Astyanax mexicanus: one gene and its partners. The protein of the gene in region 1 interacts with the protein of each later gene in a pairwise test. Links are inferred from orthologs where the notes say so. Each region holds a gene or a part of one and is shown on either strand. Other genes may lie near its edges. The genes, in order: segment polarity protein dishevelled homolog DVL-3, pitx1, kelch-like protein 12 and wt1a.

Region 1 (7,107 bases):
TCCTTTCGCACACTGACTCTTGCGCTGTCTCTTCCTCTCTATCTCCCAAGCTCAAACAAGATTCAAGTATGATAATGAGATTACTTGAGTCAGCTGTTAAATAAATACGTTGTGTGGGAATAATTTTTTTGTTACAATTTACATAAAGGTATTAAAAAAAGTAAAAAAGTATATTTTGGGTATCTGTATCAGTATCAAAAGTTTTGAAAAGATACCCAGTCCAAGAATCTCCCATTGGTTAATAATTACTGCATGGGTTTATTATTGTTTCCGCTGGCAACAAGTTATTTAAATCTAGCTGATGCAGGGAGTAGCTTCTCATGTATTAAACCACATGTGGAAAGACTCATCTTGTGGTTGTAAACATACTATAATCGTTCTTTAAAGCAGTGTCAGAATGTATTAAAAACTATTCAGTGTAATAACTTTTGTAAAAACTCTTTAGATTAAATAATACGCTTCTGTAGAACTCAAGCTTTCATACCAAATCCACTCTGAATGAGTCAGTTCACATCTTTAAATACTATTAAATAACACAGAAATGCAGCAGAACTGGTGAATTCCCCTGTAGTTTGTGTAATAAGCTTTTAATAACTCAGAGAAGCTGATGAGGTTTAAGAGTGTAGAGCTCAGGCTGGGGGACTGTTGGATTTTCTGCCTCCTGTCTATAATGAATTTCTATTTCTTTTTGGTGTAAAGCTGTACGGGAACACAATTCCTTACAGAATGCAGTTTAGTATTCTGTAATGTCTTTAATATTAAATTTACAATGTAAAAAAATACAAAAGAACAGACTATTGCTTTCCTGCTTCTCCTTCCTCTCAAAATGTACCTTCCTACACCTGTCTGACCATCTGCTCACAATGGAAGCAACTCCCCTTGTCTTGTCCCAGGGGTCATCTCCTGCTCTTCCTTGCCATAACAATAAAACCAAAGGAAAAAAACAGTTAAATCAAATTATAGCTATAAAACCTCTGCTCAAGCCATCCTGCCTATATTTCTCTATTTCTAAAATTGATGCTATAAAAATGAGTGTTCAAGTACAGTATGATTTATTATTATTATTATTATTATTATTTCCAGCTAATATGAAATGATGAAATGATTGAAATGCCATATTTAACTGTTAGGGCATGTGTAAATATAAAGAAAGGGTGTTTGTATATATGAGAATATACTATGCTCAGAGGAAATATGTGATGATTTGTAAAGGGATAGCAAGCTATAATTTAGCTATAATCTGATTTTATACATTAAACACTGAAATGTAGGAAATGTTATAAAGTAAATGTTATATATGTATTAATTTCATGTATTTTTATAGGATTTATAGTTTTAAAAGTCGTCCAAAAGGTTGAAAAAGTCATGTGTGACACAGCAAATGAGGTTTTCCTAAGAAAAGCTCACTTCAGCATCTTATTCAACAGCTTCTTTTCGAATTGTCCGTTCCACCTTAAATAAAGGATCCAAACTTAAGCAGCAGCGAGTGCCATAATACAAAAGCTGCCCTGTTTAAGGTGGATCAAACAATTCGACAGGAATGGAAATATGGAATATGCTGAAGGAAAGAAGGGGTGATGGGTGAAGGGATAGCAAGCTATAAATTAAATATAATCTGATTGTACCTATTTAACACTGGAATTTAAGATTTTTATAGTATAAATTACGATGTATGGTCTTAAAACAGATTACAAAGTCCAGAAAATAATGTAGTTATGACACATAGCAAAAAAAGCTCAATCAACAGTTTTATTTTCGAATTGTCCATTCCACCTTAAATACAGGAGCGAACTCCAGTAGTTGCGCTTTACCGCTGCTAGTGCCATAATACAAAAGCTGCCCTGTTTTTAAGGTGGACCGGGCAATTAGAAGCCATGGAACTATGCTAGAGGAAAGGTGGGGTGATTTGTTAAAGCTGCAACCTATATGTTAAGATATAATCTAATTGTATCCATTAACACAGGAATTTAGTAACTTTTCAAACTTTAAATTACAATGTATTGTCTTAAAATACTTTACAAAGTCTAGAAAATAAAAGCCAAAAAATATCAGTTCAGCGTCTTTTTCAACAGCTTCTTCAATAGAATTTAAGAACAGTTATTAAAATGAAATTAGGATTTATAGAAAGTATAGTCTTATAAGGCTTTATAAGGTTCAGAAAGTAATGTATGACACACAGCACATTAGGTTTTGTTAATAACACCCTATCTTATTCAACAGCTTCTTAAATGGATTTTAAGAACAATTATAAAGTAGAAATAAGGATTTGTAGAATGTGTAGTCTTAAAATGCTTTATAAGGTTCCAAAAAAAGCAAATGAGGTTTTCGTTATAACGTTCAATCTTATTCAACAGCTTCTTTTAAAATTCTCCGTTCCACCTTAAATATAGGAGCCAGATTCAGCAGTTGCGTTCCTACCGCTGCTAGTGCCATAATACAAAAGCTGCCCTATTTTTAAGGTGGACCGGACAATTCGAAGACATGGAAATATGGAATATACTAGATCCTTACCCGAAATCATCGTCCATTGATTTGAAGAAGAATTTGTAATTCGGCTTATTAAGGACATGTTTGAAGTCGGCCAGGGTGACCCTCTCGGCCGGGATGGGGAGTTTGACCAGGTAAGGTGTCTCCTGGTCGTCGAGGTGGTAGATGATCTTGGTCTCCCCCATGGCGGGCCGCTGGGGAGGAGCAGGCCGGGCGCATCCAGCCCCGAGTCCGTCCAGCAGCGCCTCTTCTCCGGCTGCAGTCTCCGCGCCGCTCCGCTCCGCTCAGGCTCCCGGACCCTAACCCGTAAAGCAGAGCGGTGAACCGTAACCCTCCGCGGGCGGGAATACCGACAGCAGGTAATATAGATCCCCAAACGCGGTTAAAGCGCCGCTTTTCTCCGGTACTCCTCGGTCCTTATGTCCAACCCGGGCTCGGTGTGGAGTTCGCAGCCCCGCTGCCCCGCAGCCCCACGGCGGACTGAGCGGCCCTGCTTTCTCCTCCTTCCCTTCCGAACAGCTGGAGAGCGGAGCCCCGTCAAACTACGGCGCCCACAGGCCGAGCTCGGTACTGCAGCTACTGTCAATGAATCACCTCAACTCATCTATTAGAATCATTAACAATGAAGAAAGACTGATACTGACTACATACAATCATCTATAGCACTTTACACTTTCACTCCTCTAATTATTTATATTTAATTCAGATCAACAAAGTACTTAAGTATTTAATTATACACGTATGTATTTATCTATAGTATCTGTTTACTAGTTGTTCTATTTGTTCGTCCTTCTGTTCATCCATCCATCCATCGCATCGGTACTAGTTGTTCTATCCATCTGTCTGTCCATCCATCCATCCACGCACAGTATATTTGTACTAGTTATTCTATTGGTCCGTCCATCCATCCATAGTATCTGTTTACTAGTTGTTCCATCCATCCATGCCCAGTATATTTTTACTAGTTAATCTCTCCATCTGTCCGTTTGTCCATCCATCCACAGTATCTGTTTACTAGTTGTTTTATCTGTCCATCCATTCATAGTATCTATTTACTAGTTGTTCTCTCCATCTTTGTCAATCCATCCATCCATCCATAGTATCTGTTTACTAGTTGTTCACCTGTCCATTCATCCAGATACAGTATGTTTACTAGCTGTTCCATCCACAGTGTCTGTTCACTAGTTATTTTATACATCCATCCATCCATCCATCCATCCATCCATCCATCTTCAGTATCTGTTTACCAGTTGTTCTATCCATCCATTAATAGTATCTGTTTACTAGTTGTTCTATCTGTCCGTCTATCCATCCATCCACCCATCAAGATACAGAATGTTTACTAGTTGTTTCATCTATCCATACATTCACAGTATCTGTTTACTAGTTATTCTATCCATCCGACAATCCTTCCATCTATCAATATACAGTATATGTTTACTAGTTATTCTATGTGTCGGACTATCCCATCTGTCCATCAATCCATCCATCATTTATTTATCATGTATTTTAATTTTGCAGTTGTTATGATGGCTGAGGCCAGATTCCAGATTCAGTTTGTTACAGTACAATAATAAGTCATGCTGCATACCCATATCTCTTGTTTTAGTAGCAGTAGTAAACATTCAGTATCTTGTGATCTAGCTGATATAATAAAGAACTGATTAAACAGACAAAGGTGTTGAATCGGGACTGGAAACACTGGACCTGCAGCTGAACTGGGTCTGTAAACTGGGTCTGTAAACTGGGTCTTTTGAATGATTTTTCTGTCCCTGAATAAAATACTGATTAAGAGGCTCCATCTAGTGGCTTAAACGTATTTCAATCTTCCTGCAGCTCTCAGTTCAGAGAACAATGAGACAATGAACACATTCATTTGATCCCTTTTATTCTCAGAAAAGGAAGGAAGAAACCAGTTATCTGAGATCATTAGGGCTACAGATGATCACGACTATATATTCTAGTATGCACCCCCACCACCACCCTCCTTACACACACACACACACATTCCATGACATTTAAAAGGTAATAAATTAGGCCTGTCACAATGATAAACGGCTTGGATGATATACTGCGTTATCCCAAAAGTAATTGCAATTAATGTTATTGTTGTAATTTAATAATAAACGACACTATTTAATGCCATTGCAGTAATGCAAATATAACATAACAATAGTTATAAATACTAACATAATATAATAACACCCTTACAAAAGACAAAATCATTTAGTTAATAATAGATAATAGTATATAATAGTAATATTAGCAACATTAACAGAGGGTTGCTATTATTAATGCACTGATCATGGTGCGGCAGGTAAATACTGAAGTAAATTTATTTGTATGTAAACAGTTAATACCAATGTTATTACTACAGGCCTAAAAGTAATGTTTTTCAGGCTGAAACAGGCTAATGTCATCCATATTCAGTGGAAGTGAATAGCAAGAGCAATTATATTATTATAGGCATAATTAGAAGGACTGCTTAGTTCATTCTTATTTCTTTTGAAGGGCCCATATATAACACTTTTCCCTGGAGTCTGTGTACAACAAAAACATCATAATTACATTGAAGTAATTAGTGATTTTGTGAGTTTGCCCATTTGAAAAAGACATGAACTGTCTATAATTTTAAGGGTAGGTAAATTTTAAGAGTGAAAGACAGAATATAAAAAATAAAATCTACCCCTATCAACCAATCAAGTTCTGGCTCCTACAGACCAGTTAGAAACTCCTAATCAATTGTTACAAGTATTAAAGAGAGCTGTCTTAATTTACCCACTGTATAAAAGACTCCTGTCCACAGACTCAATTAATCAATCAGACTCTTACTTCCACAACATGGGGAACACCAAACACCTTCCTATGGCTCTCAGGGACAAGATCGCAGACCTACACAAGGCTGGAATGGGCTACTAAACCTATATACCTAAGTAAGTGCTGGGTGAGAAGGAGACAACTGTTGGTGCAATAGTAAGAAAATGAAATAAATACAAAATGACAGTCAATCGACATCAATCTGATGCTCTATGCAAAATCTAATCTCATTGGGTATCCTTGATCATGAGGAAGGTGAGAGATCAGCCTAAAACTACATGCAGGGAACTTGTTAATGATCTCAAGGTAGCTGGGACCGTGGTCAGCAAGTAAACCATTGGAAACACATTACGCCCAAATGTATTAAAATATTGCAGAGCCCGCATGATCCCCCTGCTCAAGAAGGCACAAGTGCAGGCCTGTTGAAAGTTTGCTAATGAACACCTGGATGATTCTAAAAGTGATTGGGAGAAAATGCTGTGGTGAGATGAGCCAAAAATTGTGTTCTTTGGCATTAATTCAACTTGTGTGTTTGAATGACCCAAAGAACACTGCCCCTACTATCAAGCATGGAGGTGGGAACATTATGTTTTGGTGATGTGTTATGGTGTATTCTTGTGTTGATGTATATTTTTTTGTTGTTTTTTGTTTCTTTTCTAAAGGCACAAAAGTACTTTACTGAATCAATGGAAGAATTGATGGAGCCATGTACTGTAAAATCCTGAGCAACAAACCTTCTTTACTCAGCCAGGAAATTAAAACTAGGTTGTGGCTGGGTCTTCCAGCATGACAATGACCCAAAACATACAGCCAAGGCAAAAAAAAACAACAACAAAAAAAGAATGGCTCAAAAAGAAGGACATTAACGGAGAACTGTGAATGGTGTAAAATAGACTTTTGGTGTAGTAAAACATCATAAAACATACTTACCTTTGATGAAGGTAACGCCAACAGTTACTCCAACAAAATTAGAATAACCTCTTTTTAATACCCTTGATTTCAGACGAAACACTGTGAATGAGCAGGTGCCCCATTATTTGTGTTCATGTATAGTTTTTTTTTTGTTTTTTGTAACAGCTTAAAGACAATTATTTGAAATCAGGTGTTTTTTAACCATTTAAATGTCAAAAGATTCAATGCATCAACCTTTTTGATTACATTTTAAACACTACATGTGTATGTGCTACATTAGATTCGATTTAAAATATAAAATAAAAATGCTACAGGCCCTTAAAACCATAAATTAAAAAAAATTATACATTTGCATGGGGAAAAAAAAGAGATGCAAACAGGAAGACGAGGAAGATACTTTTTACATGACGTACTTTACAGCGATAGGTGATTTTTGCTTTTCTACAATACTGACATCATGACATTCAAATATGGCTTAAAGCAGTGATTCAAAACCATGATCTCTGAGGACCAAACTCCTCTGATCTGCATGTTTTAGTGGTTTCCTGCTCTAATGCTACACATTCAGTTCAAATTAGACTTGTTAATAAGTAAATTAGGTTAAATAGCTGAATCAGTTGATTTGAGAGAAGGATGTACACTTAAGGCTCAATCCCATTTTCCCCCTTCTACTCTGTTTTGAGTGTGGATGCCTAGGGGTAGGGTGTCTTAATTCTTGTTAGGCTATTGGGGGTAAGTGGGGTAAAATGTTAGTAGGGCTACATCTTCCTTCAAAGGAACAATCGAAATTATGCAGTCCCTTAAGTGACTTTGTATGTAAAAAAAAATAATGTGTAATTTGTGGCCACAGCTTAATTATCTCATTCACACGCCTTAATTATCTTGTTCCTT
Region 2 (6,948 bases), on another chromosome or scaffold:
ACTACAAAACAGTAACTGCATGCATTTTACATTTAGGGGCACTTTCCAAGGATTAGGCATAGTCGTAGACTGCATTTTCCTTTTAAAGGAAATCTCTATTCAAAATGCTGTTTCGTCCTAGAATAGACTAAATGCCTGTCTGGAAAACCGCTCAATTAAGTGCATGATAGATTTGATAAAATCAATTCGTTTTTAATAATTTAACTTAAACGTTAAACTTGATTTATATATAGGTTTAGTTCCCGTACTACCACAGACTTTTAGGCCTTAGTCAACAGGCTTTAGCTTAACGCCGTGTTTGGGCTGGTGTTTTATAACCGCACTGAATTATAAACCGGAGCGGCAACACTGCACTGAAAGAGAGACACTACATAACTAGAGTGTGTGTGTGTCTGTGTGTGAGAGAGAGAGAGAGAGAGAGAGAGAGAGAGAGAGAGAGAGAAAGAGAGAGAGAGAGAGAGAGAGAGAGAGAGAGAGAAAGAGAGATAGAGAGAGAGAGTGTGTCTGAACTACAGCTCTTTTACCGCAAAACACCACCATTTAGTCTGGACTGCTGACCGGTAGGACCAGAAGCAGTCCTTTCAACCGTGTGGAATAGTTGTATTTTATTGTGTACATTCTAATATTTGATAACGGCAGTATGATAGACCGTGCTCTCAACCATAACCTAATCCAAAACCCCAACTCCAGCTCCCCCCCAGAACCTTCATCATGAGCCTCACCTTCACCCTGCCGTGTCTGAGTGCTGTTTGAGTGTGTATAGATCAGCTGAAGGGCTCTTTAAATAAAACCAGTGATGTATCACTGTATTTAATAGAGTCAAACACAATTTAATCCTTCCTGACAATTTTATTATTATTGTTATTATTATTATTATTATTATTATTATTATTATTATTATTATTATTATTATTATTATTTAGTATATTTGAAACTTTTCTTATGGGATATTTCTTACTATATACTTTTTCACGATTTTACGTTTGAAAATCTAAGATTTAAACACACCTTCAGGCCTTTATTATTATTATTATTATTATTATTATTATTATTATTATTATTATTATTATTATTATTATTATTATTATTTTGTCATTTGAATCGAACACTTGGATAACCACTGTTCAATTAAACAAATGACTATGTTACATATAGAATTAATGTATAGTTAGTATTAGAAAGATGAAATAAGAACTAAGCATACGGAAGTTCCTCTACAGGATTGTAGAGTTATTATAAGTAATTCTAAGGCACAAATAACCATTTGTAGATCCTTTATTTTCAAGAGTATAATTAGTTTAGCGTTTCATTTTTAATAAAAAATCTCCGAGAGTTTGAGAACTGTCCGAGTTTTTTAGATTTTTGATTCAGTACCAACTTTAGCTACGCTCGCTTCAGCACCACTTTATATCGATTTACACTTTCCACAGTGTTTTCACCTTTGTAGCAGTGATGTGTGCTGTTTTTAGGTAAGTTTTTAGCTTTTAAAAATGCTTCTCTGTGTTTAGGTTATGTTTACTTTGGTGGTATTGGTTTACTGTGGCACACACTCTTACAAACAAAAAGGTGCTACACAGGGTTCTTTCATAAATAAAGAACATTTAATTTAAAAAAAGACGTGTCCAATGAAAAAGAGATAAAAAATATATATATTTGCATCCACTTTTTAAAAAATGTAAACACTTCTGTATGTCATACTCTTCGCCAGAAAGCTACGATGGCGTTAAAAAAGAATCCCCAGTACCTAAGCCCTTTTAATCTGCTGTTTTTATTCTTTGCTTATTATTTGAACTTTTATATTCAACTCATTTTAGTCTAGAAACGCGCGCACATGCAGCTTCACTACTTGTGGCCTGCTGCTCATTCTCAAAGCAAGCTCTCTGACAAAACGAGATAAATGAATAAAGGCTTTTACCAGTACTGTCACACACACTCCTGAACACACACCTCTCTACACTCACTTTGAACTACCATCAATGCTGCACCACCGAAGCCTCGCGGATCTATTTTTGCACACTTCTTTCTCACGCGCGATTTTGTTAGTGGTATTTAAATTGCTATTTAAATTAAATTCCTAACATAATTCAAATAAAGCTGATAAAATTGTTCTGTCAACGATACTATATATGTTTATATGTATTTAATGAAATATTGAAATATTGAAGTTTTTTTTATTTAAATATAGTTTGAATTATACAATAAACTTTTTTGCATGTTTTTTTCTTGTGCTTGATTTTGTTATTGCTGTTTGAATTGGTTTCCTTTGTTATTGCTGTTTGAAAAAGATGTTACAAAAGATTTTTCAGCGATACCATAGAAGAACACCATTTGGGGTGTAATATTTTGTGTGCATATTTGCAAGAAAATTAAAAGCATCGAAAACAAAAAACCTGCTCAAGGAATCTTCACGTTTATCTGTATCTGCAGAGCCGCGTTCTTTTATGAGGCTAATAAAGCTCCAGTATGTGGCTCGCTATAAAACACACAAACACTCATGAACACCCATGCACGCCCTTGCCAGAATGTGTACAAATATCTCCTTATGTAATTCTGTTGTTTTCATTTGATGCAAATCAGTCGGTTTTGCAATTAATTTTAGCATGAATTATTATCGAGCTCGCGCAATTTTAGGACAGCGCAGGGAACAGCAACAGCAGGTAAAATCGGTTCTGAAAAAAGACAAGCTATTCCACAGCGAGGGTGCCAAAACATAATCACACACACAGACACCGAACACATCGCGCTGTACAGACTGGAGTTCGTGCCCTGCTCTGGTTAAGGCTCGTGAAACGCGGAAAAAAGCAGAAGTCACTCACCGCGCGATCCTTCCGCCGGTTAGACTGTCCCCATGCAGCTCGCGCTTCCGCACGCGCTAAGAGCTCCGGAAAGTGCAGAAGTGTATGTATAAGGTGCGTGTGTGTGATGCTGTGAAAAGCCGGTGTGTTATGTGTGTATAGATGTGTAAATCTCCCGCAGCGCACGCGTTCTGTTCGCTTTGGTTGCTGCGCGCGCCTCTCTGGGCTTTTCTCTAAGCGGCTACTCCAGCGTGCACGTGACGTCACTCCTGCGTCTGAGCGGAAAGGAAAGCTGTCCCGAGCAACCAGTGCGGAGAGATAGTTAGGGTCTAGGGGTTGGTGTTTAGGGTGTATGTCTTAGGGTTTAGGTACTAGAGTTTAGGTTTGTGGCTGAGGGAAACTTTAAGGGTCTGTTTCCCAGACAGGAATTAAGCTCAAGTCGTAGGTTATATTTTTATTTTATAGAAATCTAAATTAAAATGCTGTATAGCCCAAGAGTAGACTTAAGAAGATCTGATTAATATCTGGGTTGAGACTGACGTTTAAGTGATGATGGCATCACTATTGGTTTTGGATGTGGTGGTAGCATGTTGGTGGTTTAAGTGTTGAAAGTTGAGTGCATTGGCTTTTTATAAAATTGTTTATTCTGTTGGTTTTAGTATTGAAGCTATATACATGGTGTTAGTTTTGGCTTTGGTGTTGAAGCTGATGCTGGTTTGGTGCTAAAATTTGTGCTTATGGTTAACATTTGAATAATACGTTGATAATATTATGGTTAATGGTAGCGTATTGTATTGGCTATTTATGTTACTATAAATGATATTGCTCTGGTATTTTATAGATGGTGTTAGTGTTGGATTTGATGTTAGTTTTAATGTTAAATGTGTTTTTTAGATGCTGGTGTTAATTTTGATAAAGCTATTGTTGATGTTAGGGTTTGCTTTGGTGGTCTGTTGGTGTTGGTTTGATTTTATAGGTGGAGCTAGTGCAGATTTTGGTTTTGCAAGTTAATGTTAATTGATGGCGCTAGTGTTGATGTTAATGTTAGGGTTGGCGTTTATGTGGGATTCTAGATGAACTAAGCCTATAGCTGGTGGTGCTGAGGGGGGGTGATGTAGACATTTCGCTCCGTTTTGAGTAGGCTGTATTCAAACTGATAAAACTGGAGTGCCTCAGAACAGAGGGACTGTAAAGTAGAAATTCTTTCCTAGTCCGTTTAAATACATGTTAATACAATTTCATTTAAAATTGTTTAGTTACGGTTCAGTTCTTATTAATACATATTAATCAAGCATTTTTATATTTCATTTATTTATATTTAATACTGTTGTAGAGCTAAATTCGCAGCCGCGCGCGCTGTTCTAAAACACGAAGCTGAATTTTAAACCAATATCAATCTTATAACACACACCATAATAAAGACAGATTCATCTTAAATAATAAACATACTGAGCACATTTATTCCCAACGGAACAGCTATTATTATTATTATTATTATTATTATTATTATTATTATTATTATTATTATTATTATTATTATTATTATTGTTATTATTATTATTGGTTAGTGGTGGGGGGGTGGTCATGGTCGGATAGGGCTGTATGTTATGAGCACAGTGTTTGATACTGATCTTAAATCCAATCAGCCCCTTTAAGAAGCTCGCGCTTAATAGCGGGATTAAGAAGAAGCCAATAAACAGCAACCCCCTCCTACCCTTCCTTAAATCTACAGACATTCCTATTACACCTCCCTAACTATACAGATAACTTTACATTATCCCGCAGGGCACTTTCCTATTATTTTAATCATTATTATTTTCTGTTTGAAATAGTTGATATTATTGTATGAATTCAATTTGTTTTATGTACTAATGTGATGTATTTAGAGTTTCTTGTTTCTTATTTATGATGGGGATACTAGTGTATTATTATTATTATTATTATTATTATTATTATTATTATTATTATTATTATTATTATTATTATTATTATTATTATTGCTTTATATGATTGAACTTTAAATGCAGGGTTTACTGTTAAATTATACTCTTGAAAATAAATAGGATCTACAAATGTTTTTTGTGCCGTATAATAACTGTTTACTGTTAAATATTTACACTGTGTAGTTAAATATTGTTTAAACCTTTAGTTACTTTATAAAGTGTTACATATAGATTTATATTTTATCACTATTTTAATTTATAAATATGAAAAGTATTTTATTAATGTTACCTGTTTTAGTTTGAAGTCTACCCTGTTATGGCAGTTTTTAGTGACAGTTGCCGTGATCGTCTGATCGGTTAATTTTCCAGCATTATTATAAACCACAGCGCGGCTACGGACATGAGCGGCTGAAGGGTTCCGATCAATCTGCAGTCAAACTTAAATTTAAACACCCTCATGTGTATATTCTAAACGCGCTGTGACCCACTTCTTCTGCTACACGAACAGCGCAGAACCACAGATACACACACAGGGTTCTGTAAGTCAGATACAGTAGGGTTTGTTTGGAGCTGGGCTGGGAGTTCGGGTTTGGACTGGTATTGGAGTTCAGTTCAGGACTGGAGTTGGTACTGTGTTAGAGGGTTTGTGATTGGGGTTAGATGTTAGAGATGGGAACATATTTACAGGTGAGATGGGGTATGGTTTTTGAGCTGTGAAAAATTGGGATTAGGAGTGGAATTAGGTTTGGGGTTGGATTTGAATTGGGGAAGATTAAAACCTGCATGTAATAGAATGGAAAAATAAAAAATTAGAGCTGGGGTAAGGGTGGGTATGGCAAATGGAATTAAGGTGTGGACTAATACTGGGATTAAAGTTAGCATTAAGGATGAGATTGGGATTGTAGTTAGCAGATTGCAGCTAGGCCTAAATTAGTATGAGGAAAGGCATAGGGTAGGAATTAGAGCTGGATAAATTTATGATTAGGATTGGAGCTGGAGTTGGGATTTGGGAATGGGATTAGGACTGGGTTGGATTTGGCATTAGTGCTGGGACCAAAGATGGGATTGGGTATAGGACTATGTTTGTGGCTGGAGTTGGGGTTACAACTAGAATCAGGGTTGAAGTTGGAAATTGAGTTGAAGTTTGTGTTAAAGTTGGCAATTTTGGGATTAAAGCTGTGATCAAGATTGGGGTTGTAGTTGAACCCTTTAGTCACTGCTCAGTACTTTTGCGGACAGCAACTTGGTTTCAACTGCGAGTTCCTCATCCAGCAAATAAATCCATTATTTATTATGGCCCTGATAGTGGCAAAACTGTAGGATGATGGATGTCTAGTGATTTGTTTTTTTTTTGGGAGAAAGAAAAAGTGATAAACGTTTCAAATATATAAGATCTATCTGGCCAAGCATCTCCTTAGGGTGCCTTGTGTTTCACTATGGACTGGAGCATGACTTCATAAGTTGTATCAAGCCTGTGTTGTATCATTTTATTTTTTTTATTTATATATTTGCATAATTATACACTGGGTTTAAAAGGTGAATCAATAACTGTGGAATTTGTGTTATAGACTGTAACACAACCATGACTGACTTATTTTGGCCAGCTATAATTAACCACTTAGAGTTAGACTAATGTTGACTAATGCCTCAGGAGATAAGTGTAGAGGTAACAGGGTCATCATTAACATCGGGGCGGATCCTCCCCAGCCCGCCGTTTATGGTCAACACCCGACAGTCAAACACCACACACACTTTACTGGAGTCAGAATGAATATGTGTGTGTGGGACGACGTATGTCAAACAGAATGTGTTTTTTTGTAAGAACAGATAATGGTGAGAAGTCATCTACACGGCTTCTGCTATGTTAAAAGTACAAAATCTGACTTTTTAAATATTAATATAGCAACATTTTTATTTAAAATGTAGTGGAGTGAAGCTGTCCTAAGAACGGAATGAAGCCTCTCCCACTGTGTGTGTCTCTATGTTCTCTGGAAACCTAGCCCCTCCCCAAGAGACCAGACAGTGACCGCCCACATACAGCACTGTGTATGCAAGATGGCAGAGTGTACGATGAAACATGAACATTGAAACATTACTGCACTAATAAAGGCCTCCAACCTTTTGTGCATCAAGTTATCTAACATTATCTTGATATATGAAAGCATGAAAGTTTGGAGCAGGTTAGTTGCAATGCTAACAGAGTTGGACTG
Region 3 (6,979 bases), on another chromosome or scaffold:
GTATTTCAAAATACAGCGCTTTTAGCCGATGCTCCCAACAGGCTAATCCTGCGTTCACACTGGAAAGCGACAAAGCAACAGGTGCCTGTTCATTCCTATGATAGGGTGCGATTTCTTGCTGCGACACGTGAGAAGCAGCAGAGTGTCGAGCAAAACACAAGCGACAATTTCCTCAACTTTGAAGCGACATTCTAACCCGACTGGTTTTTAGCATTTCTTTGGAACTTTTGGTTCCTTTCGCATTTCTGCAGAATAAAGTGGCCAAGCGATTCCTCATATTTATACCATATTTTCCCTCCAAAATGTATATTTTTAAGTGCGACTAAAAATGACTGGATGGTTAGTGTTAGGTCTGTCACAATAATTACATTATCGATTTATCGTACATTAAATAGACATTACCTTAATAATATTTGATAATTGTGATATCGTCTATTGTGCTAATTTGTATGCTTGTTTACATATATAAAACTGTGAACAGAATTTTAGTCAATACTGCTTCAAAAACTGACCAATGTTTTAATAACTGTGACTTCACCCACACAGTGTGAACTGCAGTAAGAGAAGAAATAAGTATTATTCCCAAACTATGATTAATTTAAATTTTGTTGTCTTTAAAAGGGTATGATTGCTTTTTTCATTCCATTCTGTTATATTTATATCAGTGGCATTTAATGGTCTTAAAATGACAAATATCGTGTATCACAATAATTTCTGGGACGATATATTGTGCACAAAAAAATGTTATCGTGACAGGCCTGGTAAATGTTAAATATAAAAAAAACATTTAGCATGTTTTATTAAAATCAATTTATTTGTAACCATTTCAGTGATCTAACATTAGTTACCAAATACATATTTAATTCAAACACGCATTTAATAAATAATATTTTTTGTAGGGCCAATACAAAGCAGTTGTAAGCAATGCAATTTTTCTTTTTCTTTTTTTTTTTTTTTGGAAGCTGGACCATGATACATGCATGCACTGAGATTTAACACCCAAGGACAAACGCCTGCAAGGACAAACACGGGATGCGTTCTAGTGTAAATGCAAAGTTACAGTGCTAGTGATAGGGGCATAGCGTTACTCATGCAAATGCAAGAAATGGCTTTTTTGTTTTTATAGCATTAACAAACTCAAAGTAGCTTCACACTTCATTGGTAGAAATCTGAGGGCCCTGATATTTAAAACGAGGCACTGAGAGCTTTAAGAGTGCACAGATATTTGTTTAAAACACTGTTTATACACACAGTACCTTCATTTAGTTTATTAAAACAATTTTTGTACACTTTTTCTCGATCCAACGAATAAGTAGGATAGGGGAACAGATTGAAAAAATATATATTTTTGCGGAAATGCATGCATGAATTCCAGCAATTGCTAAAAATATATCTATATCATATTAATGGATTTCCACGGAAATTAGTTTTCCAATCCTGTTCCCCTATCCTTCCTATTCAATGGTTAACTCTATGCCCTTATCACTGGTACTGTAAGCATGTTGGGAGCATCAGCTAAAGCGCTGTATTTCTGAATGCAGGGGAAAAATGGAGATGGGCTATTCAACAAAAGTTCATACTCATTTTTATGTTTCACTACAACCCAAGTCCATTTCACACCAGATTTCTCCTTTTAAATGTTTGTGCACGGTTCAGAACGTCCATCGTAACAGACTCAGATTCATCTCAGAGTCATCCTGCACTGAGAGCTGAACAGCACTACCTCTCTCCTCCTCTACGCCGCCGGGTGATCACTCTCCGTGTCCTGGAGTGATACCTACAGGTTCTGGACTCTACGGACGTTTATGTCCCACTTCTTAGATGTTAAAGGGAATAGGAATAAGATGTGAATGTCTTTATCTGCTGTAAATGTTTTCTTGTGACCAATACACTTTGTGAACTGAAATTTCTTATATACATTTTTGGATGTTTGATGTTTTCCTGTACAATAATTTGGTCAAGATGTATCTCTTAAGCAAAAAAAAACAATTTGACCAAATAATTACAAATTGTGTTTTTTTCAAATGAAGAAATTACTATAAAGAAATGCTTAAAAACTGCCTTGGTAGCTAATAAGAAAAAAAAAAGAAAAAAAAAAAATCATTCCATGTATGTTTTCTGTGGCCAAGATGGCAATACTCCTGAATACACCTTATTTCCAGACCAACACGCCAAATACAGATACAGTTTCTCTGATTTTGCTATTTATAGGTTTATGTTTGAGTCAAATGAACATTGTTGTTTTATTCTATAAACTACAGACAACATTTCTCCCAAATTCCACATAAAAATCTTTTATAATTTAGAGCATTTATTTACAGAAAATGAGAAATGGCTGAAATAACAAAAAGATGCAGAGCTTTCAGACCTCAAATAACAAAGCAAAGAAAACAAGTTCAGATTCATAAAGTTTTAAGAGTTCAGAAATCAATATTTGGTGGAATAACCCTGGTTTTTCATGCATCTTGGCATCATGTTCTCCTCCACCAGTCTTACACACTGCTTTTGGATAACTTTATGCTGCTTTACTCCTGGTGCAAAAATTCAAGCAGTTCAGTTTGGTGGTTTGATGGCTTGTGATCATCCATCTTCCTCTTGATTATATTCCAGAGGTTTTCAATTTGGTAAAATCAAAGAAACTCATCATTTTTAAGTGGTATCTTTTTTTCCCAGAGCTGTATATTCAGAAGCTGGTGGTTGAACCAGAGTTGCAGACATGTTAAATCAGTTATGGGGACTATTGTTGTTCTGTTTTTAAAACATTTTCTAAATTTTATTATTATAATAATTACTGTGATATTGTGCAGCGATAGGCTGGACTAAAAGTTAAGCTTTACCTCTTTACGCTCAATACAGAGACCATATGATTATGAAATATTAAGAGAAAATATTATTATTAATAGTTGAACATGCAGCAACAAGCGTCTTCATAGTGAAGGTTAATATTCCTCTGTATGTGTAATAATGTGATAATAGGATTATCTAGTTTATCCACCAGAGGGCGCAAACGTAGACCAAGGTCTCATTGGCCAATCACTTTACATTATGTTATCAATTTATTCAGTGTAACGGTGTCAGTTAAGAAAACAATTTTTTTTTCATTTGCTAAAGTAAAAAATATTTTTGTTAGTTTCTATCAAACATCTGATGGGTTAATCTAATAGTCGAAATATATTTTTTATCTTCCCTGAAATTCAGATTTCATGAAAAACTACAATTTAGAAAAACAAAAGAAAATCCATTCAAGAGAAAGTCTTCCCTTCCCTCCCTGCTGAAACTGAGCTAAAGGCGAAAGCTGTTGCCATGTGGGTCAGCCAGACCATTTTCAACGAGTCTTGTGAAGGTGTAGGAAACAGTACTCACTGTTTCATCTGTATTTTCTCTTAAGAAAAGACTTCTAATTTTAATAGTTAAACAGTTAAAGTGTTTCTGTGTCTTTTGCTAGTTAGTTTCTAGCTTCGGAAATTGACATTTATTTTAAATCCATTTCCCAAAGCTCATTTTATTTTCTTGGATACTTACCAGCTGTAAGCTGCTAACCAATTCATTGTTACCATGTTACCACGATAAAAAAACACCCCTTTTTTAAACCATAATTTTATCAGAATTTTTTACAATATACAATTCTTTATTATTATTATTATTTTTTTTTTTTTTTTAACTGTTCCAGTTTTAAACGCTACTCCACCTACAGGATACGACGTAAAACAAGGAATTTTGCAGGATCCTAGGAACTATACTGAGTTATTATTATTATTATTATTATTATTATTATTATTATTATTATTATTATTATTATTATTATTATTATCATTATTATTATTATTATTATTATTATTATTATTATTATTATTATTATTATTATTATTATTATTATTATTATTATTATGGTGGGCGTTACCAGAGCCGCCGTCAGCACGTCAGGCGTGTACGTGATGGCGTATCAGTGTTTTGGTTGCCATCGTGTTGCTGAGGGACGTGAGAGCCCTGCATTAAAAACATACAGCCGGAGTAACTTCAGCTTTTAATTAACTAAATAACTTAAAAAACTCAAACCTCAGCGCGTTCAGCGAGAACTGGGGAATAATATATATATATGCTGCAGTATTCAGAGCTAGGGCGCCGGTTCCTGCCTTGTTTTAGTGGTTTTCTGAGCACCGGGCGGAGGTTGAGAGCGTGGCTGGAGTATGAAGCTCTGTGGGCGGCCGCTGCAGCGCTGACTAACCGCTTACAGCACACGGAGCCCCGGCTCGCCTGGTCTCACTCCTCCGCTGCTGCTGTTGCTGCCGGTACGTTTAACCAGGGTTTGGATTTTATTATATGTGCCTTTACATAACTTTTGGGAGCAAAAATACTTATTTTACTTTTAGATATTCAGAAAGGTGTTCAGTTTGTGTGGATATTAAGGTAAATTATCTACTGTTAGCTTTGGTGCTAACTGGATCCAGGTAAAAACTGTCTTGGCTCATTTAACGTTACATTGCCAGAAACAGTATTAGCATGTTAGCTTGCTAACCTAGCACTAATATAATAATAGATACTAATTTATACATAATACATAGTTTGGTTAGATATTTTAAGACATCTAGCTGTATTTAACGTTAGCTAACCTGAGCTAGCTAGCTTAGCTTAGTAAACACTATTTGCACCAGGTAGAGATAGGTTAGCTAGCGTTAGCTAACTAGCTAAGCTAAGCTAGGTAAAATAATACTCCTGTAACAGAAAGTCTTTTCTTTATTCCCCCACTTTAGTACCCAAGTAGAAGTAATAAAGTAGCTTTATCTTTTTAATCAAGATTGTGGATATAATATTCTTTTTCATATATTTGGGGGGAAAATACTTATTTTACTTTCATATATTCAGAAAGGTGTTCAGTTTGTGTAGATATTTAGGTGGAGTATCTACTGTTAACTGTAACTGGATCCAGGTAATACCTAGCTTAGTTTAGCTTAGCTTAGCTTAAATGACCAGAAACGGTGTTTAGCCAGTTAGCCTGTTAGCTTGCTAACCTAGCACAAATGCTACCTATCTCGCTAGTTAATGTTAGCTACTAAAGAGTGCCCATGTTCACCAGGAATTTCCGCAGGTTTAACTTTATAAAGGCAGTTTATAGTAATAAATAGTGACGTGGGTTGTTTTAAGATATCTAGCTGTATTAACTAACTTGGGCTAGCTAGCTTAGCTTAGTTAGCACTATTTGCACCAGGTAGAGATATGTAAGCTAACTAGCTAAGCTAAATTAGGTAAAATATTACTCATGTTACAGTAAAAGTCCTTTCTTTATTCCTTCACTTCAGTAAGTAAAAGTAAAAAAATAACTATTTACCTTCAAATGTAACTGGTAAAAGTACTATGATTTATTATATCTACTTCTAATGTAATGTAATTTTTTATCTAGGCTCTTGAAATAATGTGCTTTTTCACAACTTGTGTGAACAAACATGTTTGTTATTTTCATATATATTTAGAAAGGTTAGTTAGGTAGCTAGCTAATTTACACATTGCTATCTGCTCATGTTTTTAAGCAATATTTCAGCAAATTTAGCCACTGCTTTTCTGTTTTTATGATTTTTTTACATTGTAAATTTAATATTGAAGACTGTATTAAAGCTATACAGAAACACATGCTGAATTATTTAGTGTTAAATAGACCAGAATATGTTTTATATTTTAGATTCCTCTAAGTAGCACATTTATCTTTAAGGACATATCTGCACACTCTTGGTATTTTCTCAGTGTTTTCATGAGATTTGTGTCATTACTACAGTTTACTGTGAAGTTAACTAAATGTTTTTCATTGCAATGTTTTCCATTGTTTTCTGATGCATTCTTTTCTTTGTATTTATACAGTTGGCTTTTTACTTCTACTTCTTACATTTTTACACAATTATCTGAACTGTCTACTCCTTACATTTGATTTAAAAAAATGGAAAAAAATAAATCATTTTAGCTGGTTTTCATTCCGGCTTCTCATCGTTCAATAAAAACCCTATCCAGATAAATCTCTCCATCCAGATAGAGTGAATCTGATTGTGATTGGATGTAGAGAAGTATAAACATAAATCATTTCGACACCCTATTGGTTTATACTGTGATCTATCACAACTGCACACCATACGCCCCGCACACTCCAGCAAGAACATAGCAGACGTATGTAACCTAGTATGAAGATGATCCGTGCAGAGACTCGAGAGTACTCCAGATAAACTCCAGTCCAACTAAACTTCCTTTAATATATTTACATTCTACTAAAATACATACATTTACAATGGGGCATATATGCAGCTGAAACAGGGAACAGCGTAGAACATCACAAATTATATTATCAACATTTACATTTTAATATTTAAACATTTATAGTCATTATGGCTTTTAGAAAAATGTGTTTTGCTTTTGATATATTTGTACATACACACAGTCGTATCAGAATATTATGTCCAATGTTATTTATCATCACTGTCTATCTTATCAGCCTTACTGATAGGAGCACATATAGGAGCAGTTAGTACTGGTAGTATAGTGTACACAAAGTTAGAACTGTATTCAGAGAGCATTTAAAATCTACCTGTAGCCTTTTTAACTTTTAATTGCATATGTCTTTTTATGTTTGTTATAGAGGCACGTCTCAGTATGTGTTATTATTCTTACCATTAATCATGTGTGTGAGTGTATTTATTATCCTCAGAGCTCTTAGTCTGTGTTGTTTTGTGATCACAGACCCGAGTCGAGCTCCATCATCCTGCACTGCCTGTGGACGTGCCGCTCTCCCCCTTCGCCAGTTGCCATGGCGCCCAAAGACATCATGACCAACTCCCATGCCAAGTCCATCTTAAATGCCATGAACGCCTTGAGGAAGAGCAACACGCTGTGTGACATCACGCTGAGGGTGGAGAACACAGATTTCCCCGCCCACCGCATCGTCCTGGCCGCCTGCAGCGACTACTTCTGTGCCATGTTCACCAGTGAGGTAACCGCGACC
Region 4 (7,809 bases), on another chromosome or scaffold:
TTATTGGCGATATGAAAAAATCTCCAACATTTATTTACGCCATTAAGTTAAACATGTACCTCATTATGAGTATAGACTGCTCAACTAATAAGGCTTTGGATCATTACCTGATACGTTTATCTGGCTTATTATTAAAGATACATATTTTAAATGTTTTTGAGCAAAAAAAAAAGCATGTTCTTACTTATTTATTGATTATTCATTTATAGAGTGTGTATATTGTAATAAATATATTTTGCCGTCTTGTTTTTTTACAGTGCAGTGTTTTAAGTTGGACTTTATTTGGACCCATTACTTTACATACTGTGCCAAACCATAGCACTAAAGATACAAAAAATAATCTATAAAATATATTTTGGTGGTGAATTAAATTAAATGTCTTTAAGTCATATGTTCTTATCAATTAAAAGAAATTCAAAGCAATTTCAAAAGCATTCAATTTAAATGCACTGAAAGGCTGTTAAATTTGTTAGTCTAAATGCTTTTTCTTCTTCTTCAGATGTGCTTACATTTTATTTTAAATGGCAGGTGTTGACTTCAAGTGCCTGAACTGTACAAATTGAGTGTGTGCTGCTTAAGGATCACGCATGTGGGATTTAATCATTTTTCTAATACTATTTGCTCAAAGCAGCAGAGCTTTTTTCCTAAGTATGATCCATCACTGTAGGTGGAAAAACCTGCAGTTTTTCTCACTGCACTCCCAAACTTTTATCAACACTCCCCGTGACCAAAAGCAACACGCTTGATGGTCTTAAATAAAGTTAAACATTAATCACTCGCATGCCTCACATTTCTGCAAGACGTGATGGAGATCTGATGCAAGAGGAGTTGGAATATTGAGTAAAATATAGGATGCCTGGTTCTAACTTCCAGCAAAGGAATTTAAGCAACTCCAAATAGTTGTAAATCAAATTTAAAATTGTATTAAAAAATGTTTTATTCTTTATAAAGTGATTTTACTGACAAATATCTAAAGATGAAGAAAAAGTGCACAAACATATCGTATATGATTGTATATGACATTGTGTCAAACACAGCAATCGAAACGGATTCCGGTAACCAATGTATGTTTAGCACATAATATATGCTTAAATATTACATTTAGGCACATTTATTAAATACTGACCTTTTTCCAAATTGATTTAACACTATTGTGATAATAAAATTGAACAATGTTCATTTAATAATGAATCCAACTAGAATATATACTATAAATAATATATATCTTGTGCAAAAACAACAACTAAAAACTTGCTACCACATTTCCTCCAAATGTTTCCTTCACTTCCTTCACTCAACTTGTATTGTTCAAACTTCTGTTAATGCTTTTTGCTCAATACACTTGATAACAATAATACAAATTAATACAAACTTTGTTAATTATGATTTATTACAGAGTAGTATTTAAATAAATATCACTATAATATCTTGTAGTTTTGTATTTCTTTTGGTTTAAACATTTAAAATTCATACAGAAAGTTGAATTTGTCTGTTTTGTGCTTGTTGAGGATTATCAAACATACAAAGAATATTCGCATGATAATAGAAGAATAGGACAGTTTTTTTTGTCAAGTCTAATGATTAATGTGCATTGTATTGCATAGCATGTGTTTAAAAAGGAATAACACATTATATTATACCTTCTTCACAACTTTGCTGAATAGCTGTACAAGAAGGCCTGAAGAACCCTAGTTAATTCAGTAACATCCCTGTTCTCATCTCTAGAAAAGGCTTTGACTAAAAACAGGTATTGAGTATCAAGAGATGGTCTTACCCTGGTTCCTGGAGCTGGCCTGACCATCCATACAGTTGGACAGGTACGGGCCATTGCTGAACATTCTGGGCTGACTGGCCGGAGGCTGGTTGGCTGCAGGTGTCCCGAAGGCCCCGTACCTGCAGGCCCCTGTGCCTGTAAACTGGCCAGAGAAGTGGACGGTGAAGGCGCTGAGGCCACAGTGAGGGTCCTCGTGGGGGTCTGCTGAGCCCCAGCTGGGCTCCTGCTTGATAAAGGAGTGGCTGTAAGGTGGGCCAGTGTGAAAGTCCAGCACAGGAGCCCATTGAGGGGCACTGCTGACGGGCAGCGGGCAGTTCCCATTCCCTGCGGGCAGAGCCGGGACAGGGGACAGGAGGGTGTTGAGGTCACGGACGTCCGAACCCATGCCCGACGTCTTGCTCACCTGGGCGACCGGGTCCAAGGTGGAAAGAGAAGTCTTGCAATCTCCTGGAAGCTGATTTCAAATTTCTTGCAAATCCAGGACAGAGTCAAAAGTCAAGTCCAGAAAAGCCGCATACTTGAGTTTTTAAGATGTTAGGCAGCAGCAGAAACACCAGGAACTTCATGCATTAAGAGTCCGAAGCAAAAAAAAAAAAAAAAAAAGGACGAGATACTTAGAAAGAAAGAAGAAAGAAGCTGACAGTACCCAGGCTCCTTCGTGGGATGTCCCAGCCAGGGAGAGATCTCTGAATGAAGTAAGAGAGACAGAGAGCGAGAGAGAAGGAGAGAGGAGGAGGAGGTGGAGGAGTAGGAGGAGGAGGAGGAGGAGAGGAATAGCTCCTTCACCGTGTGTCTGTTTTCTTTGGAGGCCAGAAGGCTCAAATAGAAGCACAGACAGAGGAGCCAGGAGGAGGGGCTAAATACAGACTGAGGAGGCTTCATTCATTTACTTCAGTAAATACTATATAACCTACCTTTATCCCGCGCATCTCACAGGGCCCCCAGTGTGTGCATTCAGATGACTGGGTTTGAGTGGATGAAGTTATTCATATTATTTTCTATATTTTTACAGCTGTGTCCCCATGACTGGAAGACAGTTTCTCTACTAATAACAACAGGATAAATATCTTTAAAACGTCTCTCGCTGCTAAATATTTTCTGAGGTATATAGCATTAATAAAAAAATAAAGATTAACAAGAATGCCTTTTTCTCTAATCGCGCGCGACTTAGATCACGAGGGCTACATAAATAATTAAGTCGGAACATCGGAATGATCGTTTTAATACAACGTAATGCATTTGCCGTTAAAAAAAAGGCGCTATAGGAATATGAAACATAGGAATATTTAATTCGGCTTTTAAATAACCCGATCAGTTTTTATTATTATTATATTTTTGTTCTTTTGTTAACCTTTAAAATATAAATATATCCTATTTTAGTCTAATCTCTCTTCCCAATTAAAATCTAAATTAATCTGCCGTGGCAGTAATTTAATGGTTTAAGTGGGGTATTAGTTTCTATTCGTTCAAAGGAAATAATAATGATCTCTAAAAATAATTTAAAATGTCGACATCAACCAGGTAATAATTAAATTATTCGTTTCGGAGCTTACTAAAATATAATACCAACAGCTAGAGGCGACGGAAATAATAATAATAATAATAATAATAATAATAATAATAATAATAACAACTGACCTTTGTACTATTACTAATATTAATGTTTTAAAATCCGTTTTTTTATTACAACCATCAATTACATAAGTTAAATATGGATTTAAATTAAATATGGACTTATAAACGTGCCCAAAGTTCCCTAAAATGTAAGCGCATTTCCCAGCCGAAGAGAATGACAGACAGTATGTCAATGTAAAAAAATATATATACTATACTTGATTCGTTTTTATTTTAATTCTTATGATTTTATTTTTTTACACGTAACACGTAAAAAGACACATTTGTAGGAAAAGTAAAGATTCGATTATGTATGTACTAGAGTATTTCTGTTTGTCTACATTTATCGTGACATTATTACACAATGTAAAGAAAACATTTACATCATATCGAAAAATGAAACACGACATAAATAGATGTCAAATAGACACGTTTTTGTGCGACAGAGACGACACGCAGCCGAAGCGCGCACCTCCAGTAAATTAAAAAGGGTGAAGTCACCCCGCGCGCGCGCGCACGCATATACACAAACACACACACACACACCATTTCTGATGGAGTTTATTTTTTTCTCTCTATTTAAAACAGAGAGGGAAAAAATAACTGTCGGATTGTGGAAGATGGATGTGGGCTGGACCCGGTGGAAATAACCGTGTTTAGATAAAAGTGAGGAGTTTCTCCTCTCCACAGAAAATGACAGAGATCACAGCCGCGCGCAGGTGGTCACTGCTGGATGACCTCTGCTGCGGATAATCAGGTAATATTCAAATCGAGATGGAAAGCATAACTGCAGAGCTGAGCACATTTATCTTCTACAGGGGACCAGAGAAAACAGCTTTCTGTAATAAAACATTCAAAACTGCAGGACAGTGGCTCGGACTGGTCAAGAGTGTATGCTTACCTCACAAACAGGCCCTGTGTGTGTGCTCCTGCAAATTAGTCTGTTTTACATTTTACAGCAGTGTGATTACTGAAGACATATTTAAATGGTAATTCTGTTCAGATAGGACAGTGGCATCATTTCTATAAGCAAGAAGAAAAAGAGGAAGAAAATTCAATTTCAGCTCTCCACAGAGTGTGAAGAGAGGATCACTGTCCTCCCTCCACTCCCTCCGCCTGGGCTCCACTCCTCCTTCACCTCTGGCTTACTGTCTGAAAGGGAGTAAATGACTGGACCTCCTGGACCTGTCCTCACTTTAAGGGTACAGCTGAAGCCTGGAGATACAAACACAGTCATAGCCTGGCTACAAGCACATAGAGACAAACCAATCAATAAAACAATCAATCAATAAATTAATGAATCAAGGTTTAATAATATAAACACTAACACTTTTTTTGTATTTATATATAATTGTTTCGGATCTGTACGACTAATTATATACATTTATATATAAATGTTTGAAATCATTTTTGACTTTCGCAGTTGTAAAGTTATAAAGTTATGTAATCAATTGCATAGAATATCTATTTTTACTACACTGTTTTAACAATTAAAATGTCATTTTTTTCTTCCTGAAAACAGTGCTTATAAAAACTTGTGACCTACACCTAGTGATGTCTCTTTTTCTGGCGAGAAAAATGTGGCAGGCAGTGAGTCTGACCATTTTTTTCTCTTATTATTTTGTATACAATTTTGAGGATACACCAAAAGTATGTTATTATTATAATAAAAGTATATATATATAATATTATTAGAATATTATTATATTAAGTATAATATTACAGCATAATGTTATTGCAATATTGAGAGAATCTCTCAATTGATGTAAAGCAATGAGGCTTTGAAAAAGCGAAAAAAAAAATAGAGTGTAATATAAATTCAGTGTTAGCACATGGAAGTTACAACAAAAAACAATGTAAAATGTCTGTTACTGTTACGGTCAACCATGTTATTTTTTAACAGTTTAAGTAATTTAATTTATTTAACATTAACAGATTTGACTGATGAGTCAAATCATCTTATGCATGCAATTCTGTAATGGCCCATTTATGTGCATGTAAGTTTATATATGCACATGCCATTGTAAAATTGCTGAAAGCATTGCTCTAAAAAAATTAAACGTGTACCTTATATGCATCCCATCTGAGAGGTAAAATAGGCTTTTTTTATTCCAGAAAGTCATTTATCTGTTTATTTATTCATCATTATCATTTATTTATGATATTTTTACCACAAAAAAGTGGTACACATCTGATCTTTCTTACACGGCATGATCTGAAAACACATACAGCTCAACAGAGAAGGTCCTGGACACAGGCCCTGAGTTTTTGAGCTTAATCACAGGAGCCAGAAATTGGTGTCCTTGAGTGTTTCTTCTCGTTTGATGTATGATGACTTTAAAGGTTATCTTCACTGCTTCTAGTCTTGCCAGCCATTTCGCTCTCATAGCAACAGTTAGCCTTATACACAAACATTGTCAGTGAAGGCCGGACAAGACAGTGTTACTTCATATCACAGAGGGTAGCTCTTGCCAGAAATTTGGAGAAAACATGAGAAGCCACTCCTTTTCATAACAAGTGTTTTGATCAAATGACTGTAGAACACAGAGATGCCTTGGGTCCATTCTTATCTGGGGTGCGTTTCCCGATAGCGATTGTTCTTAGGGATTTAAGAACAACTTTAAGAACGACTTAACTTTAAGAACGCCATTTTTCCGACTGTTTCCAGAAGCCACTCTTAAGTCTCCATACTTACGAAGGACCTTTAAGTAGCACTTTGGTGGCTCCGCCCCCGTGTCTGTGAGGTTTAAGGCAAAGCCAGATGAAAACTAGACCACCGATTTATATACAGTTCTTCATTATTAAGCCACAAAGGTATAATTTTGTATGATATAAAAAGCCAAATAAAATATATTTACTTATTTGTTTACTACTACGACTGTCAGACTGGGGAAAACCGTTAATTTAATCCATATGTGTGTGATATGTGTGAATAAAAATTATATTTGTAGGTAATTGTAACTTTTTCTTCACGTGAATACGATTATTTCAACCATATAATAAACCCAAATACTATGAATAAATATGCGCAGGTTAATAAATTAATTTAAATAGTCTGGAATTTAGTCTTTTTTTTATTGTTTATTTTTTTATAAATACGTATGCTGAATGCATCTTTAAATGCATTTTTTTAAGGATCAAAAGCGGCCTCTTTCGTTTTTGAGTCAGAACTGCACGTGGATTCCACGTTAAGAAGAACTTAGTTATTTACGAGTGGGTCAGACCACTCGTAAAGTTACGAACGAGTTTAAGTACTACGTTAGTTACGAAGGCTTTCGGGAAACGCTCGTAATTTTAAGATTGTTCGTAAGTACGAAGTTACGAAGTACTTAGCGTTAAGAACGTTTTGGGAAACGCACCCCTGGTCTATATAATTTAAGCCAAAATTGTCTGCAATGTTGCCAGATCATGCATGTCTCGGACTACCTTCACTGAACCTACGGCGCAGAAGAAAAATGTGTATTTCCTCTAAATTTCCAGTTTCTCCATGAAGTGTTATATTTTAATAGTGAAAGCGCAGTTCAGGAAAGTTTTATTACAAGTCAGCTTCTCCATGTAATGAACGGAAAGGGCGTGACGCAGGTCCTGCAGACGTCTGGTCTGTTCCAGCCAAGGTTGTCAATCACTTAATTCCTGGGTGTTATCCCACCTTCTTATGATATAGCAGAATATCGTTTTAAAAACATTAAATATGTGCCAATATAAGCAACCAGAAAAGTAACTGTTGGAATAAGATACTGGAGATGGAAAGACAATTTAAAGAAGGAAAATTTTCTGTTTTGTCACTGAAACATACAGGGGTTTGTGGAGCTACACACCATATTAGTTTCTCTTTTGAGGGACATTGCACTCTTCATGCTTTCAACAATCATTGTTGTTGGATGATCAAGAAAATAAATGTATTGCTGCTTCAACTTAAACTTGCACTTTCTATTCATTCTTCCGTTCTTGCAAAAAAAAAAATGATGCTGGAAAAATAAAGTCATAAAGCATACTCTGACTTGACATGACTTTAGCCTGCCATCATTTTGCACACTGTGACCATCCTGTAACCAGTTAACCGAGATACATCTCAATTTGTCCGGCGCTCAGGCCTCGGCTGCAGCCGGAAGTGTTGGCCTAGGAGTAGGACATGGATAAGCAGAGGCAGCAGAGCTTGTTAAATTGATGAGTTGAGATGTGCTCTTACTTCACCATCTGGAATTCTAGTCTAGAGTTCTGCTGAAAGCTGCTGACCTGGGACTCAACTCTTCAACCCGTGGAAGAGCAGCAAGAAAAAAAGCCTGTCATGTCGGCAGAAGTCACTGTGTCAATGCTCTTTATCTTCCCATCAAACTGAAGAGGCTGGAATAAAGTCCTGGAGCAGGCCTTGCAATACAACAAGGCAGAGTTCCAAAGCAATATTGAGTGGAAGTGGTTAG

The links.
Region 2: the proteins of segment polarity protein dishevelled homolog DVL-3 (region 1) and pitx1 interact in binary tests that used the Homo sapiens proteins (3 or more experiments, as listed by UniProt). The two-hybrid records come from large-scale screens. The link is inferred for Astyanax mexicanus from reciprocal best matches to the Homo sapiens genes DVL3 and PITX1.
Region 3: the proteins of segment polarity protein dishevelled homolog DVL-3 (region 1) and kelch-like protein 12 interact in binary tests that used the Homo sapiens proteins (3 or more experiments, as listed by UniProt). The two-hybrid records come from large-scale screens. The link is inferred for Astyanax mexicanus from reciprocal best matches to the Homo sapiens genes DVL3 and KLHL12.
Region 4: the proteins of segment polarity protein dishevelled homolog DVL-3 (region 1) and wt1a interact in binary tests that used the Homo sapiens proteins (3 or more experiments, as listed by UniProt). The link is inferred for Astyanax mexicanus from reciprocal best matches to the Homo sapiens genes DVL3 and WT1.

What each region holds. Positions count from the first base shown.
Region 1 is NC_064416.1:4,791,646-4,798,752, reverse strand, and holds the start of segment polarity protein dishevelled homolog DVL-3, read right to left. Parts: upstream 3,007-7,107; 5' UTR 2,673-3,006; coding exon 2,512-2,672; intron 1-2,511. UniProt on the Homo sapiens protein: Involved in the signal transduction pathway mediated by multiple Wnt genes.
Region 2 is NC_064424.1:34,451,528-34,458,475, reverse strand, and holds the start of pitx1 (pituitary homeobox 1), read right to left. Parts: upstream 3,027-6,948; 5' UTR 2,817-3,026; intron 1-2,816. UniProt on the Homo sapiens protein: Sequence-specific transcription factor that binds gene promoters and activates their transcription. May play a role in the development of anterior structures, and in particular, the brain and facies and in specifying the identity or structure of hindlimb.
Region 3 is NC_064419.1:47,237,716-47,244,694, reverse strand, and holds the start of kelch-like protein 12, read left to right. Parts: upstream 1-3,954; 5' UTR 3,955-4,289; intron 4,290-6,717; 5' UTR 6,718-6,784; coding exon 6,785-6,967; intron 6,968-6,979. UniProt on the Homo sapiens protein: Substrate-specific adapter of a BCR (BTB-CUL3-RBX1) E3 ubiquitin ligase complex that acts as a negative regulator of Wnt signaling pathway and ER-Golgi transport.
Region 4 is NC_064417.1:5,718,453-5,726,261, reverse strand, and holds the start of wt1a (WT1 transcription factor a), read right to left. Parts: upstream 3,024-7,809; 5' UTR 2,160-3,023; coding exon 1,775-2,159; intron 1-1,774. UniProt on the Homo sapiens protein: Transcription factor that plays an important role in cellular development and cell survival. Recognizes and binds to the DNA sequence 5'-GCG(T/G)GGGCG-3'. Regulates the expression of numerous target genes, including EPO.